Linked DNA regions of Caenorhabditis elegans. The protein of the gene in region 1 purifies or fractionates together with the protein of each later gene. This does not show direct contact. Each region holds a gene or a part of one and is shown on either strand. Other genes may lie near its edges.

Region 1 (7,997 bases):
TCTTCGATATCGATTTTTCAAAAACTGATTTTAAACGGAATTATGGAAATCTTTGCCATTATTTATTTGGATTTTTATAAGGGAGGCGGTCACGTTGTTATATAATGGAAAATCGTGATTAAAATTACGTAACAAAATTGGAAAAATCGGCAAAATGCCGGAATTGAAAATTTCCGGCAATTTTCCAGAATTGAAATTTCTTGCAAAGCGGCAAATTTCCGGCAAATCGCCAAATTCCCGATATGAAAAATTTCTGGCAAATTGGCAAAATCCAGAATTGAAAATTTCTGGACAATCGGCAAATCGACGGAATTGAAAATTTCCGGCAAATCGGCAAATTGCCAGAATTGAAATTTCTGGCAAATCGGCGAATTGCCGAAATTGAAAATTTCCGGCAAATCGGCAAATTGCCAGAATTGAAATTCCCAGCTAATTGGCAAATTGCCAGAATTGAAATTTCTGGCAAAGTGGCACAATTCCAGAATTGAAATTTCTTGCAAAGCGGCAAATTTCCGGCAAATCGCCAAATTCCCGATATGAAAAATTTCTGGCAAATTGGCAAAATCCAGAATTGAAAATTTCTGGACAATCGGCAAATCGACGGAATTGAAAATTTCCGGCAAATCGGCAAATTGCCAGAATTGAAATTTCTGGCAAATCGGCGAATTGCCGAAATTGGAAATTTCCGGCAAGTCGGCAAATTGCCAGAATTGAAATTCCCAGCTAATTGGCAAATTGCCAGAATTGAAATTTCTGGCAAAGTGGCAAAATTCCGGAATTGAAATTTCTGGCAAATCGGCAAATTGTCAGAATTGAAATTTCTTGCAAATCGGCAAATTGCCGGAATTGAAAATTTTTGGCAAATTGGCAAATTGCCAGAATTGAAATTTCTGGCACATCGGCAAATTTCCGGAATTGAAAATTTTTGGCAAGTCGGCAAATTGCCAGAATCGAAATTCCCGGCTAATCGACAAATTTCCGGAAATGAAATTTCCGGCAAATCGGCAAATTGCCAAAATTGAAGTTTCTGGCAAATCGGCAAATTTCCGGCAAATCGCCAATTTGCCGTAATGAAAAATTTCTGGAAAATTGGTAAATTGCCAGAATTGAAATTTCTTGCAAATCGCCAAATTGCCAAAATTGAAGTTTCTGGCAAATCGGCAAATTTCCGGCAAATCGCCAATTTGCCGTAATGAAAAATTTCTGGAAAATTGGCAAATTGCCAGAATTGAAATTTCTTGCAAATCGCCAAATTGCCAAAATTGAAGTTTCTGGCAAATCGGCAAATTTCCGGCAAATCGCCAATTTGCCGTAATGAAAAATTTCTGGAAAATTGGCAAATTGCCAGAATTGAAATTTCTTGCAAATCGCCAAATTGCCAAAATTGAAGTTTCTGGCAAATCGGCAAATTGCCAGAATTGAAATTTCCGGCAAATTGGCAAATTTCCGGCAAATTGCCAGAATTGAAAATTTCCGGTAAATCGGCAAACCGGCAAATTGCCGATTCTCCGAATTTGCCGGAAAAACTGTAGTTGCCAAAAAATATCGGCAAATTTTGGTTTTGCACATTTTTTCGGAAATTTCAGAATTTCAATTTTAATCGGCAAAATTGTACGCATCCTAAGAATCTTCCTACATCTATTTTGCAAATTCTATGAAAATATCTTTAAAAAACCATGAAAAAAGTTTCAAAAAGGCACAGTTTTAAGTGTTTCCGTCTTATAAAAAATCCCTTTAAACATTTCCGGTAAACTGCGAACCGGCAAATTGCCGGAATCGAAAATTTTCGGCAAATTGGCAAACCGGCAAAATTTTGTAATTATTTGCACAATTATGTATATTGTTTCATACCTTTTGATGATGTCGTAATTTTTTTTTCACGATAGAAATTGTCGTTTAAAAATGAATAAATACTGCTCAGAGGTCTGAACTGTTGTACTAATTGTGAATGTGCTATATATTCATTCATTAAACAGTTGTGAATAATTAATATCCCATAAGCCAATTGAAGAAACCATTGGACTTCTTTGCAACCTCCGACTCCTCGAACTCGGGTTTCGAAGTTGTAGCTGGTTGCAGAGCCAACGGAAGCACACAATAAGAGGCGTCCAAGCTTGTCGATGTTATAACAATCTGTCCACCAGTTTTCATCTTGCCCAACGCGTTATTAATCACTCTAGCAGAACTTCCACTTGTGAGTGGCGTTTTAAAACCATCCGAATTCAAAAAATAGAACTCAACGTTTGAAGACGCCAGACAGTTTAGATTCAGTTCAGGAGCCCCACTGGTTTGGTTAACTTGGTAATATCCAGTTAGATTATAGATACAGTTAGAGTTGGCTGGAACAACTGAGGAGTTTGTATTGTTGGAGTTGTAGCCAGGGGAGTACCAAACTCCTCTATTATTTGTGCCAATGGTGAAGTTAGTTCCAGCGGCTGAGCAGGCAACTGAAAAAATCCAGAGTAAAAAAAAACGAAGCGGATGGTTCTAAAATCTAAAAAAAAAGCTAACCTTGCTGGCACTGAGTGTATCCGTCCATATCTCCCGGGCAATTTGTGCAGTATGGTCTGTTGAGACTATCCAATTGGCATGGCCCGCTTCCTGTGCAATTAAATGCCAAACATGGATTTGGAGTAGTTGTTGGTGGTGGAGCAGTTGAGGTGGCTGCAAGTTAAGATTACTTTGCTTGATTCAGGGGTGGGCGCCAATTGCCGTTCGGAAAATCGAAAAATTGCCGGTTTGCCGAGTTGCCGGCAATTTGCCGATTTGCCGATTTGCCGGTTGGCCGGAAATTTTCAATTCCGGCACTTTGCCGATTTTCCAGAAATTTTCAATTCTGGCAATTGCCGATTTGCCAGAAATTTTCAATTCTGGCAATTGCCGATTTGCCAGAAATTTTCAATTCCGGCAACTTGCCGATTTGCCAGAAGTTTTCAATTCCGGCAATTTCCCGATTTGCCAGAAATTTTCAATTCTGGCAATTGCCGATTTGCCAGAAAGTTTCAATTCCGGAAATTGCCGATTTGCCAAAAATTTCAATTCTGACAATTTGCCGATTTTCCAGAAATTTTCAATTCTGGCAATTGCCGATTTGCCAGAAATTTTCAATTCCGGAATTTTGCCGATGTGCCGGAAATTTTCACTTTCGGCAATTTGCCGATTTGCAAGAAATTTCAATTCCGGCAATTGCCGATTTGCCGGTTTGCTGGAAATTTTTTTTTGCCGATTAAAATTGAAATTATGACATTTCCAAAAAAAATGTGCAAAACCAAAATTTCCGTTTTCCGGAAACTTCGGCAAATTGACAATTTGCCAAAAATTTTTAATTCCGGCAATTTGCCGATTTACCGATTTTCCTGAAAATTTTGGATTATTTCGAAAGTTTTCCGCTTGTTTTTTGTATAAATTTTCTTTAAAATTTTTCAGAATGAGTTTTTTCTCAAAACTTTCAAAAAATTTGCCGAAAAGACAGGGACAAAAATACAACCGTTGAAAATATTTTTTTAAAAAATGATATTTTTGTAGTAATCTAGACTATCGTTTCAAAGCTTTCATCCCTGTTAGGTGTTCTTGGCCTCCTTTCATTGCAACTTACTTGGTGGTGCTGGAGTTGTCGCTGAAAAAAATCACAATTACTAGAAAAAACCTCCACTGTTTCAGAACTCACGCTTCAAACATCTCTGATATAGACAATTGCCCTGCGCCGAGTTCACCTGACCGATAAACTTCTCCACAAACGTCAGAGTAGTCTGCGCGTCATTTTGCTGATTTGTGATCACTATGATATTATTTTGAATCGCGTTCAAATTTTTTTGAATACTATCCAGTAGGGCTTGAAGATCCTTAATCTTTTGAACTGCCTCATCATTGGCCTCCTTCACAGCCTTATCCTTATCACTGGCCTGACCTTGAAGACCTGAGAATTGGGTGCGCTCTGTGGCGACAGCAGATTGATCAGTGGCGAGAAGGACTTGGTTGTTGCCAGGAGCATTGAAAGTGTAGGTGCAAGAAGCATCCACGCATACCGGAGAGGAGAACTCTGAAAATTTGTGAATAGGTGTAAACGCCTACTTGCCTGCCTTCAAGGCGGCCTACATGCCATTCTATGTACTGCTAAAGTTGTCTTTGCATTTCACGTGGGCACTCGGTGTCTGATAGTCTTTCTACCTACGCGTGCCTTCCCGTCTTCTGCGCTGTTTAACCTACCTACGACTGCCTACCAGGCAGCCTACGACTGCCTACCAAGCTACCTACAGTGGATCTCGTGCCTACTTCACATAGCTATCTAATACAACTCACGCAAAAGACTGTACGTCACATTTGGAAGCGGTGCTGGTGTAGTTGGTCCAGCTGATACAGTAGACCCTCCAGAGGTCACTGGAGCCGCCGAAGAGCTTGATGGCTCGGCAGTGGTTGCTCCGGACGATGGGGATACTGTAGATACGGGTGCTCCAGAGGATGCGGCTGCTTGAGTAGTGGCAGATGGGTCAACGGAAGTTGGAGAAGCTGGAGCCTGGGATGGTGCTGCTGATGAGGAAGCGTCTGTTGAGGGAGAAGCTGCGACGGTTGTTGCTACCGATGAAGAATTTGAGGCTCCCGGGTCTCCATTGCCACTAACCAATGTGGCTAATCTGAAAAAAATTTGGAAAAATTATTGTTTCGAGAAAAATCAATACCTTTTCCAAGAAAATTAATAATTTTGGAAGAAAAATCGTCAATTTCTTGGAAAAATCAATATTTTCCATTTTAAAAAGTCGGCTAAAAATTTGAAAAAACTCGATGCTTCTTCTAAAAAACCCCAGTTTCTGGAAAAAATACGAAAAAAATCAAACAATTTTGCCCAAAACTTACAGTAACCCAACACATAACGCCAAAAACCGGAATTTCATTTCTAGCGACAAGAAGCCTGTGTAGAAACAGAAGTGATACTGCCGAAAATTTAGAAATTTGCCTTATCAGCTTAAAAAGGGCGTCGAATTGAATGATTTATGTTTGCTCCCCATCCAAAAATGTACTACCGTCATAATGCACAACTACTGATATATTTGCTGGTGATAAGAATGATTTATACCGTTTTTACGACGGCAATTTTAAACAGGAAGGGGAGTTTAAATGTGAAAAATGGAAGAGAAATTGACTGAAACGTGGTCAAATTTGACTGTAAATGAACCAAACATGCCTACATGCCTACAAATTGTCGTTTTAAATTCTGAAAAAACGCAAAATTTGCGAAAAAATGGCTACGGGAATTTTCGAAAAATTTAGTCTGAAGTCAGATATGAATTTTCAAAGTTTGAAAAATCTACTATTTTTGCATTTAAATTGACTATTCCAAATTAACTCAAAATGTGCTCAAAAATCCACATTTCCTGCTTGAACTCGGCAATTTCGGAAGTTGTTGGAATGCCGCTTTCAAATTCTGAAAGAACACAAAATTTGCGACAAAATGGCTACGGGAATTTTTGAAACATTTAATTTGAAGTCAGATATGAATTTTCAAAGTTTGGAAAATCTACTAATTTCGCATATAAATGGTCAGTTTTATTTAGGGCTGTACAAATCGGCGTCCGGTCGTCCGATTTTGACACCACCGGACGCACCGCGTCCGGTTTTGGGGTAGGTTTCCACGGCGGCCGACAATTTCCGAGTTTCGCCACTCACTATACTTAATCAGCAATTTTATAGTGGGTGGTGAAACTCGGAAATTGTCGGCCGTCGTGGATAGCTACCCCCAACCGGACGACCGGACGTCCGGTTGTACAGCCCTAGTTTTATTTAACCTCAATTTATACTCTAAAAGGTTTGATATCTCTAAAGGTATCTCTGCTTAAACTTGGCGGTTATGCGAGCTACTGAATCCAAACTCCAAAAAATGCCTACCTGTCTACATGCCTACATGCCTACATGTCTACATAGATATCAAAAACAAATCACACAACAAATAGAACCGAAGGAAATTACTTTACTACCACTTCAATTCTCTAAATCTCTCACTGAAAACAAGTTTTTTTTTGTTTTCTATTGCTGATAACTTTTGAACTTGACTGACTCATCATGAGGAATAAAATATCGTTAGCAATAAGTGGATATATAAAAGTTAAATGAAAATAGCAAGAAAATCACAAATTCTCAATGGTCAGTGCTACTAAATTAAGCTCGAAAGCAGATGAGGCGAAGAAGCAAAAAGTCTTCGTTGCAATGGGGTAAGTCTTTCTTTTTATACAAACGAAGAAGGCCTAAGCCTAAGCCTACGCCTAACATCGAAAGTAAATTATTCCAGAGAAGACTTGTTCGAAAAGCCAGCAAACTCGAGAAGCACCTTCAATTCCATTATCCTCTTCACTCTAACTGCGTTGACATTCTACATCATTGGTTCTTTAGTTCAGCAGAGAACCTCTGAATCACTCCCAACAAGATTTCAATGGGAAACCCCAATTCACATGGACCGAACCACTGAGGAATTTCTTGATTGGAGAGAGAAAGGAATTGTTGGACCAGTTAAAGATCAGGGAAAATGCAATGCATCCCACGCATTTGCGATAACTTCCAGTATTGAGTCAATGTACGCCAAGGCTACAAATGGAACACTTTTGTCATTTTCTGAGCAGCAGCTTATTGATTGTAATGATCAGGGATATAAGGGATGTGAGGAGCAATTTGCGATGAATGCTATTGGGTAATTGTTTTGGGTTGATTTAAGGTTTAGACCGTGATGAGCAATTGAAAAGCGAAAATTTTTATAGTGGCTCTGTCGTTTTAGAAATACAAGCTCGTGTACCTCGATGCCGGAAAGGTCTAGAAATTTCCAACCAGCAAACTGTTCTTTATTTCAAACATGATTAACATTTCGTTTATTAATTACGTTTATTAATTAGTCTATCCGTTTTTGAGACACGCAAATTTGAAGGTCATTAGACCTTGTCTTCAAATACCTAAATCTTTGAAGTTAATAGAGTGGTAAAAATGTGATCAATTGATAATAAATGCTTATGCAATAATGATAGGTAGCATTTGTCGTTTAAAACACCCATAAATGTGAATCGGAACCTAATTATTTAACAATTTTGTCAGATGAAAACCTTTAGCGCTAAATATTCAAAATTTCAGATACCTCGCCACTCATGGCATAGAAACAGAAGCAGACTATCCATATGTTGACAAGACAAATGAAAAGTGTACCTTTGACTCAACTAAATCAAAAATTCATTTAAAAAAAGGAGTTGTGGCAGAGGGTAATGAAGTACTGGGGAAAGTTTATGTCACAAATTATGGACCCGCGTTTTTCAGTGAGTTTTTTTTTTTTATTGGTCATAATTGTGCAAAAAGTAAATTTCTTGATAGATCATTTAAAGTTAGAGTAGCGCCAATTGGGATTTGGTCTAAATGTACTTATAATGATCCAAAACTACCGAATATCATAATAAAACTCTTTAAAAAATTTTAGTAAAAAATTTTTTTTTTGGTCGACTTCCAAAATTATGAGTGGCAAAAATTGAGTAATTGCCACTTTTTGACAGTTAATAAAAAATTTTCAAAAATTTTTTGAAAAGTTTTATCACGATATTTGGCCATTTTGGGACCAAAGGAGTGGTTTTTAACATATTCCCCACTGGCGCTACTCCACCTTTAATAGCAATACAAATATTTTCAGCGATGCGCGCCCCTCCATCCCTCTACGATTATAAAATCGGAATCTACAACCCATCCATTGAAGAATGTACAAGTACACATGAAATCCGATCAATGGTAATCGTTGGGTACGGTATCGAGGGAGAGCAAAAATATTGGATTGTGAAGGGCTCATTCGGGACATCGTGGGGAGAGCAGGGATATATGAAGTTGGCAAGAGATGTTAATGCATGTGCAATGGCAACTACAATTGCAGTTCTTACCGAGTTTGTATAATTTTGAGAATTGTTATTACGATAAGAATGAATATTTATCTACAGCGCGGGCTTCTGACTTCCTTTATATTTTGATATAGATCTCACTTAAAA
Region 2 (6,088 bases), on another chromosome or scaffold:
CGACATCACAAATCCAAAATCCACTCAAATTGTGAGCAACGTGCACACTCTTGTGCCACGTGTCAAATCTTCAACGTGGTACTTTGAGAAAAAAGAGAGCCAGACGAGAAGCTGCATCGAGTTTTCTGATTTTGTTCTCCGCTCAAACTATCGATCTCCGACAGTGGTACTTGTTGTGGAAGCATCTCATTTGGTGAAGACACAAATAGGAATTGAGGAAAAGAGTTTGGGACATACATATCTGCGACTGATAATTGATGATAAAGCAGTGCCAAGTAGAACGAATGTTTTGTATTTGGATGATGAAGTGATGACAAAAATGAAGTTGCCGGAAGCTTCGAAAAGAAGAGTTCTGGTTCAAGTGATGGATGTTCCCAAGGATAAGGTTTCATATGTGGAGTGAGTTTTGGAAACTAAGAAAGCTGAAAATCTGGATCCCTGACCTGACTTTAAGTTCAACCCAAATTATTTTTCCAGCTCCCTCCCCGATGTCATAGTATTCAATGCTCTTTATTTACCATTCTTCCACTTTTACCGCCGACGAGCTGGAACCATTTTAATTCGGGACAATCGGAATCCATTGAGTGCTGGTAGGATTTCATACCCACCCAAACAATATTTTGAACTAATTTCAGAATTTATATCTGACCCACTTCTCTCTGTATTCCCATTTGTTTGTGACCAGCATGACATTATGGATATAATGCTGAAAATTTGGAAAACCAAAAAGAAAGTGCTCGCCAAGAAAAACGAAGCTGAACAAACTGCCGAGTTCTTCCAAACTTTTCTACACACCGCGTTTTTTATTCATGGGATTCGAATGATTTCGTATGATGTCAAAGATGATCTTACTCTTTCGATTAGGCAACAGGTAGAGCTGCTGCTCTTGGAGCTCGTTTCAAAATCAGGCTTCGATTATTGTAACATTTCAGACTATGCAACGATTTGTGGATGCATTGAATAAGGGACTTTTCAAGCAGTTCATCGCAGATCAACAATGCAAACCAATCAATATTATCGATTATTCATTGGATCTTTTAGGCAATCATTCTATTGACTAATTTATGGAGATAAAATTAAGCTCAATAAAAAATTTAACTGTGTAATAAGTTCTACTCATCTAGCATCTAAGCATAGAAATGTTTCAGTCATTGTTTCAGTAAATTTCAAGTTTTGAAATTTTTGGTTTTGAAATTTTTGGTTTTTTTGTTTAATATTTGAATAATTTAGAGTCGACTCCCAAACATAGGAGTGGTAAAACTGAGCAATGGCCATTTTTCAGTTGTAAATTTTCACACTGTACCCTCTCAAAAAATGGATTTGAAATGAAATATGTTTATTCGCAATAATGAATAAAATTGGGCGATTTTTCAGAATCACAGCCTCATCGAATTTATTCCATTAAGGGGTTTTATTACATCATGAAATTCTGCGAGCTGACGATCAGGATGTGGTTCTGAGAAATCTAAGAGTTCCTAAACTGGCTTGCCGCTGATTACAGTAGCGGCAGCGGAAGAAGCTTCAGGTGCGGCGGTAGAGGCCTCGGAAGAAGCAGCGGTTGATACCACAGAAGCTCCACTTGCAGTAGTATCTCCACCAGCTGTGGATGCAACGGATGCATCGGTTGCTCCAGAGACAGTAGAACCTGGTGCATCAGTACTCACTGGAGCAGCAGTACTTCCACCAGTCGGCTGAGTTCCTTGAGACACGGTACTTCCGTTGTCAGTCACAGGGTTTACAGTGGAGACATCGCTGGCAGTTGTGGATGGAGCAATGGTAGACGGAGCAATAGTGCTTGGAGGTGAGAAGCATGTGTAGCTGGAGTTTACATTTTGTTGGAAGCAAGAAATTGAGTTGTAAAGCAATGTGGCGGTTGTGTTGGCGTTTGCTGATGCGGTAAGTAGGTCTGGAAATAAAATGGAATACGGGAAATTTCAAATGTGAGAATTGAATTTAAGAGCACACCTGGTCAGAAAAATTTACGAACTCCAAAAATATATGCATTAACTTAAAACTTTTAAACTACAGTACAGACTTCCTGCCTATTTACCTGATGCATTATTACTAGCAACTTGAACATTATCATTCAAGCTCTGACCAGTTGCATTGACCACTGTGAAGTTCGCATTAAAACCCTGAAATCAATTGCTCAATAGTCTAGAAAAGCTTAATTGGCACAAATTTACTTTTGTGAAGGCACATGCACCGGTGTCATTAAATTTCAAAATTGTGGAATCCAATTTTGAGAGACTTGAAGCAATAGTTGCAACTTCATTGTTCAGGGTTTGTTCATCGATAGCTTGAGCCACTTCCTGAACGATTTCAATTTGAGAATTTCAGTACTATGTGAAAATGTATTGAAAATGTGTCACCTTGGGAACCACAAGTTGGAAGGTACATTGTCCATTTTGGCATCCGTAATTGAATGATGAATCGAAGGCGAGCAGTGCCGGAACAAATAGGAGAAGTACGAGACGTGTCATCTAAAGGTAACAAAAACGATATACGAAAAAGGCAAAACATCAAGGCATTACATAACTTCAGGCAAATTTGCCTGGTAGGCAGAAAAGTCTAAAATAGATTCAGTTTTAAAATCAATTTAAATTTAAAATTGTATAAATTCGGTCTACCGATGGTAGTTGAAAAATGTAAAAACGGGGCGTTGGTTACAAGCCATCGCCGCATTAAGATAATAAATCATTCAATTTGGCACTGATAAGAAATGAAATGGAAGGAAATGGAAGCTGCTCGGCTACTATTTGAAAAGTCATGACGTCATTGGAATTGGAGGTGGGAGTTTTTAATAAGCGAACAAATTATTTGCTTGATCGTTTTTTTAATGTCTGACTAAATTTTAGTAAATTTTCTGAAAAAGTTAATAAAATATCTATTCGCAGTGATATTCTCAGAAGCTTTTTTCGAGCGAAAAGGAGAGCATAGGTCTTCAAAAAAGTAACACCATAAAACTGTCTGAATTGAAATAAAACACTTTATAATTCTATACAAACATGAAAATAAGGTACCGACAATTGGAAGTTTGCATAAACATCAATCACCATTTTGGTACAACGTCAAGTGTGTCAAATGAAGCCCTTGATGCTCTCTTTGCTGGAGTTTTCGGAGTTTTTGCCAATTCATAGTTAGTTCCTTCAGTAACTGTTGTAACTGACTCTGTCGGGTGCACACTGGCATGTGAACTTTCAGTATCCACTTTGGGGTCACTGGTGGACTTCACGGATGGTACAGCTGTGGAATCTTTCTGAAACTAGACAGTAGAGCTTCATACTGTTAGACATGTCAAACCTTATCAACATCACTTTGTCTCAACCAACGGTAAACAAGAAGAAAGAGAATTGATTGAAGAAGAAATGCAATTCCAGCTAACCCAGCAGAAGCCCACATTCCATGAATTGGTTTTCCAAGCTGTTGGCACAGAATGATACCCCCATTGTTGAAGATATCAATAAACGGGCGACACATGAATATATTAGTTTGAAGGTTTGTCTGAAAAATCGGATGATTAACCGACGCCTTCTAGTATACTCACCCTAAGCGCCGTAATTGACTCATTAATTGACCAGTCTCCACTATCAAAATAGTCATTGTTAAGATCCCTGGCTATCAAAGTCTGAAACATTTTTAGAAACATAAATTTCTAAAGATTGCTAAAATACCATATTTAGAGCATTCGAACTCAACGTCTTCACAATATCCACAAATTGATCGGATAACGAATAAGATTTTTCAAGGAGCTCAATGTATTCTTGGTACTCTTGAACTGCATCCTCATCATCACAATCTGTTAAATTGGATTTCTTTACAGTACTATAACCATGGCTTATTTTGTCAAATGATATCTAAAAAATATTAATTTCGTCAAAAATATTATTTTCTTTCTCACTTCATGATGCTTCTCGAATGAAAATGTCAAATTAGGCAGTTTCATAATTTTCTCGTTTGTCATATTCCGAAAGGCATTCAAGTTCAGCTTCTCGGTAACTGATTCTAGGCGAAACAATTTCTCTCCCTCAATTGCGCTGTACAGTGTCATTCTAGGATTGCGGCAGGATGTGAAAAGTTTTCTGAAAGTTAATTATATGAGCTTTAGGTTCTGAGCTCTGAAATATCTCACCCAATATTCAAATAATCCAAAGGTCCATTTGTTCTATTAATTGATACATGTATACTATGAAACATTGTATAATTATCATCTTGGAAAGTGGGAACACATATGGCTGACACGAACCATCCCAAGATAAAAAGAGTACTCGAAAATAAAAGAAGCACAATGGAAACCACGATGCTAACGTAAAAACCAACGAGAACAATTGTGGCGAGCTTGGGGAATTGAGTGGGCAGGGTGAACTTTGAAGCTTAAAATTCAATTAACTATTCAAGTTTCCTGGAAAATTATTTGAACTTACGTGTATTCTTCCAAAGTGACAGGGCTATTGCTACACATCCAATGATACAAAAAACGAGTCCAATGCAAATAGGCAAAGTCACAAGAAGACGAACACAAATTTTCAAGCTAGAATATCCACTTGACCAAAATCAGATCATGTTCTTCAGTAGCTTTTTCAAGTACCTACCGCCACAAAATGCTCATGACCAGAGTTCAGTGTGCTCAGCGCTTCGGTCACCTCCTGTTGATACGCGATCAGCGAAGTATTGATAGTCTTCAGAGAACCATCAACAATTTTTTGTGCTTGTTTGATGGCTTTTAATGCGCGATTAGATTCGGTTTGAATCTGAAAATTGAGGGGGTTTGAGTAGAAAATTAAGAAAAAGCTATACATGATCTTTAATATCCTTGATCTGGGAATTAATGCGTTGAAGTTGCATGGATCCTTTGATAATGCGTGTGGCTGCTGCGGAGACCTGAACTATTTGTTTTCATTAGTAAGGTATTTTGATAGTGGTTTTTCAAAAAAAAAAAAAAACAAAAACTACAGCGTCTAAATAATGATTTTTAGGTTTAAATTTTCATGATCAAAAATTGTAGGACGTCTTTATGCATACGTGCCTATCTACCGCCTATTCGGTACATTCAACTGAGTTTTTGAGGGCCTGTAAGCAGGCACACATTATTGTAAAATTTACCGGCAATGTTTTCTCAAGCACCGGTATTTCTTTGACCAAATTTTTTGCATGTGCCTTGCAGTCCATATCAAGAGTGTTCATATTTCGAAGACGATTTACCAGAGCATTTCCTGACTTTATTGTGATTTGATTTTGATCTCGATAGCCAGAAAGATCAAACTGAAAATTAATTGATCTTATTGAATACATTCTTTAAACCTACATCATTAACATCGACTATTCCAACACCACTTTCCGTGTCGTCAACTACAGTTGACGTGTAATTTGAAACAAAAGAGTTCAAATGGGCAAAGTTGTGAGAAGTTGTACGTAAGAATTCACATGCCACTTGATATGCACCTTCGGTTAGGACTTTGGTGCGGTCTGGAAAAATGCTGTTCAGCAAAAAAGGCAACTGCCGGAAAGTGACGGACAAGTAGAAGGGCAAAGATCTGAGGTCGCCCTCTATAGAGATCTTGTTCCCTCACTGTTCCCCGATAGTTGTCAAAATTATGATAGATTTTGTTTCTACAGAGAGCGAGGACTCTAAATTGAGACCTAACAACCCTACCAGAAGCGATCTGTTTCACGTAGTCCATCGTTTTGTCAATTGAATCCACTAGATCACTCTCAGCCGTGTTGAATAGTATCAACCCGTTTAATGCGATTGCGAATGTGATAACCAACAATCCAGCGTACACAATTCCAGTGATTTTGGAATCGCTTGACTGTAAATTCAATTTTAAAACTAGATTTAAGAAAAAACAGAAAATCCAACATTTTTCTTGGGAGCACATGAATAAAAACACAGCCAAATAGCTGTGACGATGCACAAAGCCAGTGTAACAAAGACCAAAATGAACCCCAATTTCCAGAAGATTGTGGGTCCAGGTTGACCGGCTACTAAATCCGCAAAAACATCATTTAAAGTTACAGTTCCGTTTTCAAAGAGCCACTTGTTCAGATTCTAAAAAATATTGAAATTATCAAAAAATTTTCGATCTCT
Region 3 (6,058 bases), on another chromosome or scaffold:
GAACATTATCTACTGGCGCTATGCTTTGTTTCAATTTTGGGTAAATCAGTTAATAAAATTAAAACATAAAATGACACAACATATATTTTTTTTCTATTTTAACATTCTTAATTATCACAACTAATCTCTGATTTCACATTCGTTGCGCTCAACCCAGTTCCCTCAAATTTCGAAACTTTCTTCTAATCGGAACACACACTGGACATCTCTATTACCTTTTCTTTTTCTCTCACCCATTTTTCCCTCTCCAAATGACAGAATGAGGACTCCTTTCTCTTCGCGCCTCATCTCCCAGCAAGGCGTCTCAACGAAAAGAGACAGCCGAGAAAATGTGCGGGTCGTCGCCGCAATTGAGCCACTGCTGCCTGCATTTGTCGCCTATCGCTGGCTCGTCGCGACGCGGACACGCAACATCCAACTGCTCCAACATTGCGAGTCCACATCGCCGGCGGTGTCGTCGGAGCGATTCGCAAGTCGCCAACGGGTTTCCATTGCGACATCTATGTCGCACCGGCGGTCCTCTTCGTTATCGGCGATGCGAGTTTTGTCGTTGCGACGTGGTGAATCGCTGGTGCGATTCGTCGTCGTGTGCGCGAGTGTCGCATTTGCGACTCGTCCTCGCCAAAAGAGCAGAGCTTTATCCCGAAATTGAAAGAGTGCACAATAAAAAGAGGATGCATTGATATTCACAAAATGAGGATTGGATCAACATAGATTTGGAGGAAGACGAACAAAAACTGATGCTGAGGAGAAATAGTTCGAATAAAAATAAAGTATCAATAGCATCATCACCATATTGCTGAAAACTGTTTTTCAACTTGTATTATAAACATTTAAAGGCCTCTAACTGTTAAAAATTATGTGAAAAATAAGGTTGATTGTAGTAGAATTGCTTATTTTGTGAAGTAATACATATATAATTTCAAAACATTATCTCGATCAGCAAAGCTTTATTAAGAAGTTTTCTGATTTAGAAGCAATTTACACGTAATGAAAATTACAATAAAAGTGAATTTTTGACAGAAAACATGCGCCACGTCAGCGTGAAACCTAACTAACTTCCAAATCATTTTTTATTATTGCCAAGCACTCAAAAATTTATGTCGTACAAAAATACTATTCCAGGTTTGGCCATTTGTTCAAGTTGTGAATTTGTGCTTTGTTCCACTCAATTATCGAGTAATACTTAACCAGGTACATTTTGACCAAAGTTTGAAGAATAAATCATAACCAAAATACAACTGTTTAAAAGGTTCAATTTTTATTAGACAGTTTATCACGCCATTGAAACGAAACACATCAATCAGTTTATTTTTTCAATTAATTTTTCAGGTCGTCGCATTCTTCTGGAATTGTTATCTGTCCTACATCACTCAGAAACCCATCGATCATATTGAACAATTTTACTAGTTACAGTTTCACATACATTCCAATCTTTATGTATTTTTCTGTGATATTTATGTTTTAGGTTGTAATTTCACATAAAATTGTATTATGTTCAAAATTCCCAATTAAAATTAATGACGATAATGTTAATTCAAAAAGTAAATTGAGAGTATAAAACAGGATGAGAAATGAGTTTTGGACTTTGTGATTAAATTTCCAGAAGAACAGTCATGAAAATGAAACGAGATCCCAAGTGGTGCGGGGAAGTGGATTGGCGAGGAAATGTGGCGGAAATGAGTCGGACAGAAATGGAAAGAAAGAAAGAAAAACGGGGTTTGAAAAAAAACATTCACAGAAAATGGCGTACGGTGCCACCGGGGAACCGGTAGTTTCTCGTTAGAAAAATTGGTAAAAGTGTGTTGAAGAAAAGTTGGTTAATTTGAGATTTACTTCTATGCAACAAAGGAGTTGTGGCGTGCCGGGGGTCCTCCGAAAAATCCCTCGTCGTCGTCGTCATATTCTAAACATTTTGACATTAGCTGACTCGCTGAATTAATTATGTTTATTCCTCACGTTTACGGTTGACTGGAACATTGTCATTGCAATCGGAGCTGTCCTCATCGAATGAGTTGATGGCCTGAAATTTTGAATTTTGTATGATTATATTGTAAAATTTTTTGGGTGTTTTGCAAAAAATTTCAAAAGCCCGAAAAATTCCGAACCTCATCTGAAGAGTCCTCCTTGAAAGTGACTCTTTTCCTTTTGATCGGTAATGGTCCTTGAGAATTATGACGCTTTCTTGGTCTCGGCTGATTGGGACGCATTTCCATCATTTGAGCATTAAGCATCTCGACATCTTCATCATCAGAATTCACGTGCTCCATCGGATCTTCGTCGTCTGACGGTGCTGGTGATGCATTTGGTGATGGAGATGGTGATGGGGAGAGCATCGCATTGTAGTTTCGAAAATTTCCATTGTTATTGTTTAACGCGGCTCTTGCCCAATTGTCGTATTCCCGGAGCAAGCGGTCAACGATCTCTTGTGGAATGGGATCAACTCTCTGGTTCATGTAGTTTCTCCAGTTTTGGCGGATTCGTCGCTGTCTCTCAATCTCCTCTTCCGCGTCATCAAGCTCTTCGTCACTATGTTGTGGAGACAAAGGATGATAGTTTCCCTCTGGCTGCGGATCAAAGAATCCACCAGGCTGAAAATGCTCAGGTCGAAGGTGTTGCAGCAAAAACTGCCGCCTCTGGTTTAGCTGAAATTCAATGGCTCTATCGACAGCTTCGTTCGCCTGAGCGCGGTGCACAGGAATCAGCTGGATCAATGGTGGAAGTTGTGGGAGTGGAGGCAGATAACGTCCCTCACGAATTGCAAGTTGTCTCTCCATCCTTAAAGCGTGCCTAGCCTCTTCACCTTCCGCATCTCGATCATTCCTTGGTGCTGGGTGGGGTTCTTCCATTATGAGTATACCCAAGTAACTGAAAAAGGAAACTATTGAGTGATGTTAAGTCAACTGAAAGAACGTTGGGCGTAAATAATAATTTTCTTTCAGAAAGGGTATTCACATAACAGTTGTATTTGAAAAACATGCAAGACGAGGAGTGATGAAGGAAAATATAGAACATGTGACGCATTGGGATATTTTTTTGCATTGGAATTGTATATTTAAAAAAGACTTAAAAAAGGAATTTAGCAACTTGTTAAAAATTTTGTAAATTTGCAAAACAAAACGAGTAACTTTTTTGTGGCAACCAAGCCTATCACACTGCCGCTTAATAGTTTCCCAGTTTAAACTAAGAAAATTCATTTCGCCGAAACACTGCAGAATTGGCAGAATTGCAAACCGTAGAAAGAGAATAAAAAGTGTTTGCAAGGGAGAGGAAAAATGGGGGAGAACATGCGGCCAAAAGACGGACGGTCGCCGTCGCCCTCTTCCACTGCCGACACTGGCCGGCCTGTTCTGCCCAGCAGCGCCGTTTTGTCGAGATGCCTGCGTGTCTTGCTGTCTCAAATGTTTGAAGTAGCAGATTGCCTACATTATATTGTGATATTCAATAACAATATTAAATTGACATCTTTACCAAGCAACAAAAGAAAAGTTACAAACAAAACACATGTACATACTTGTTTTTTACGCCATGTATTTTGCTCTGAAAAAGCGCTATAAAAATGTTGGTTTGTATTAAAGTAATTGCAGCTCACAAACAGTTACAGCCAGATAAATACAAAGTAGTACTCAGTTTTTAGTACATTTCAGCAAACTTTCAAGATTTCAGCATTATCATTAAAAAAACTTGAAAAAAACGATTGCCTTGCATTTTTGACGACGAATCACATATACTTCTATAAAGGTTTACACTGTTGCTGGTTAAAACACTAGTTTGAATTTTTTTTAAAGATAAAATCATCATTTTAGCTAATTTTTGGCTGGTACAGTAGCTAGGTTTTATAATTTTTTGATATTTATCTAAATACGTAGTATTTGTTGCAACTGGAAAGACCACTCAAACAATGAATGTTCACTAAAGTTTGCTAGAACCCTACTGTATTATGTTTGATATGACTTCTGGAAAAATAGAAAATACACCTCAGAAAAGTGAGGGTTTTCAAAAATTTTTTGACTACTGATAAGACAATAAAGTTTCAACTATAACCTTTTTATTTCTCCACCATAGACAACTTGAAAATAATAAAAAACTTTACAGTGAAACTTGATAATGATAAAACAAGAAAGTTTACGTGCTTTTCCTAAAATTAGATATTTCAGCTTTGTGCTTATTACAACCACGCATGCACTAATACCTAAGTTGACAACAACAAAACGGATACATTGCTTTGAAAATTGTGTGTTTATCTGGCAGTCATGAACTATTTTTAAACATCTCCTGATATATTAGAATTAGGGGTGGCTATAGGTCGACCTAGGTCGACCTGCGACCTAGAGGGTTAGGTCGCATCGCGACCTAGGTCGCATTGCGACCTGCGACCTAGCGACCTGCGACCTAGCGACCTAGGTCGCATTGCGACCTGAATTACCGACATTTTGTTCTCTTTCGGTTTTGATTCACTTGAGTTGTTAAAATCGTATAACTCGAAAACTGTATAACTCGAAAACTAAAGATTGCAGAATATGTATATTCCAATAACATTTTCTCTATTAAGATTTTATAAGTTTATGCGTAGTTTTTTTTCAAAAGTACGGAACAAAGAATTCATTTCTACAAATAAAACCATGCATTTCAGCAAATTGTTTCAAAAAGTTCACGTTTTTGTGGTTTTTGTTGTTTCTAAAATTTAATTTTCCACTTTTCGAATTAAAAACGTAGAAAAAAGCAGCAAATCCGGCGGATGTCGGCTGTTCTAACTTTTTTCGACAAGGTGTCTTATGGATAAGAAATCGAAAACAATGTAAAATAAATGATTTGTAGCAATTTGTTAGTATAAAAAATGTCAGTACTTCAGGTCGCAAAGCGCAATGCGACCCAGGTCGCAAGGTCGCAGGTCGCTAGGTCGCAGGTCGCAATGCGACCTAGGTCGCTAGGTCGCAGGTCGCAATGCGACCCAGGTCGCTAGGTCGCAGGTCGCAATGCGACCTAGGTCGCGATGCGACCTAAATGAAAACAGCGACCTAGCGACCTAGGTCGCACTCTTGCCACCCCTAATTAGAACACATTATTTAGATTTTGAGCCATAATACCACAAATATGAACAACGCCTCATATCAACCAAATATCGCCCAAAATTCTTGATAAGTTTTCTTAGAAAATTAACACGCATGCTCATTTCCAAGAAAAAATCCAAGAAAAAAAAACAAAAGCATGCATCGACCTTTAGCCTACTTGTACTTCCCGTTGCTATGAACATTAGTAGAAAGAATGAATGTGCTCTGCGAGCCGAAAAACACAATAAATTGTGATCTCGCCCACATTGTTCCACAGTTATAAATTTTGTTATGGGGTTATTTGCTCGAAATACTTTGAACTGAAAGGAATGAGGAATGTGCTAAAGTGCTGAGAGATGAGATTAATCTAGGGCAAGAAACTAAAGAAAGCTTCTTAGATTAAAACATAGGCAAAGATGAGATGTCCTAACATCTCACTTTTGTTTATTTTCACCCATTCGTCTTCATCTTCAAAGCCATCTTGCAATATTTTCCATCCTGTGTGGATAGATTTGCTTGAAAAAAAAAGGCGGAATGCGGATATCGATTGAAATTGAGAAAGGGGAAAGCAGAGACAGCAAAGGCAACACAAATATTTCTGTGTATTACATGATGAGCTCAGAGGTTGTGTTTTGTTTGAACAAGCTGAAAAACGAGAAACAATATTGGTATTGCGTTAATTTGAATGCCAAATGATTTTTCAACGAAAACCAAATTCTTTGTTGTATTTAAAATCAACTTTGAACACTATCCACGATTTTTTCTAAAACCAAATTTCAATGATAACTTTTTTCGCTGAAAGTTAGGTACATATAGGTATTTCCCCATCTTCCGACACTTTGCATCATCTTCCCCGCCGTTCTTTTTTTTGCAGAAAAAAGAAAACACTTCGGACATTTAGTCTTGATGTCCATCCTTATCATTTGTCTCCCTCGGAAAAGGGGTTTCCTTATCTGTATATACACAGTCAGCAACTCTATCAATTCGACAGAATTTGTATACTTCAG

What was found.
Region 2: the proteins of H34I24.2 (region 1) and M28.10 fractionate together in Caenorhabditis elegans (co-fractionation; one large-scale study listed by BioGRID). This does not show direct contact.
Region 3: the proteins of H34I24.2 (region 1) and T18D3.6 fractionate together in Caenorhabditis elegans (co-fractionation; one large-scale study listed by BioGRID). This does not show direct contact.

What each region holds. Positions count from the first base shown.
Region 1 is NC_003281.10:2,839,063-2,847,059, reverse strand, and holds H34I24.2 (CUB domain-containing protein), read right to left. Parts: upstream 5,017-7,997; 5' UTR 4,890-5,016; coding exon 4,852-4,889; intron 4,632-4,851; coding exon 4,300-4,631; intron 4,040-4,299; coding exon 3,668-4,039; intron 3,617-3,667; coding exon 3,596-3,616; intron 2,665-3,595; coding exon 2,512-2,664; intron 2,448-2,511; coding exon 1,987-2,447; 3' UTR 1,863-1,986; downstream 1-1,862. Other genes in the region: Y71H2AR.2 (Peptidase C1A papain C-terminal domain-containing protein), read left to right, coding at 6,133-6,203, 6,281-6,676, 7,108-7,286, 7,652-7,905.
Region 2 is NC_003280.10:10,643,911-10,649,998, reverse strand, and holds M28.10 (Flo11 domain-containing protein), read right to left. Parts: upstream 2,484-6,088; coding exon 2,373-2,483; intron 2,313-2,372; coding exon 2,187-2,312; intron 2,136-2,186; coding exon 2,051-2,135; intron 1,907-2,050; coding exon 1,476-1,906; 3' UTR 1,323-1,475; downstream 1-1,322. Other genes in the region: nphp-1 (Nephrocystin-1-like protein), read left to right, coding at 1-399, 478-590, 636-871, 933-1,061; M28.4 (Protein tweety homolog), read right to left, coding at 3,053-3,259, 3,304-3,504, 3,548-3,628, 3,675-3,857, 3,902-4,082, 4,133-4,373, 4,425-4,548, 4,593-4,751 and 5 more.
Region 3 is NC_003284.9:12,446,708-12,452,765, reverse strand, and holds T18D3.6 (uncharacterized protein), read right to left. Parts: upstream 2,875-6,058; 5' UTR 2,850-2,874; coding exon 2,109-2,849; intron 2,024-2,108; coding exon 1,960-2,023; intron 1,907-1,959; coding exon 1,839-1,906; 3' UTR 1,411-1,838; coding exon of another isoform or gene 1,333-1,410; 3' UTR 1,323-1,332; downstream 1-1,322. Other genes in the region: T18D3.9 (Mitochondrial inner membrane protein Mpv17), read left to right, coding at 1,126-1,194, 1,333-1,410.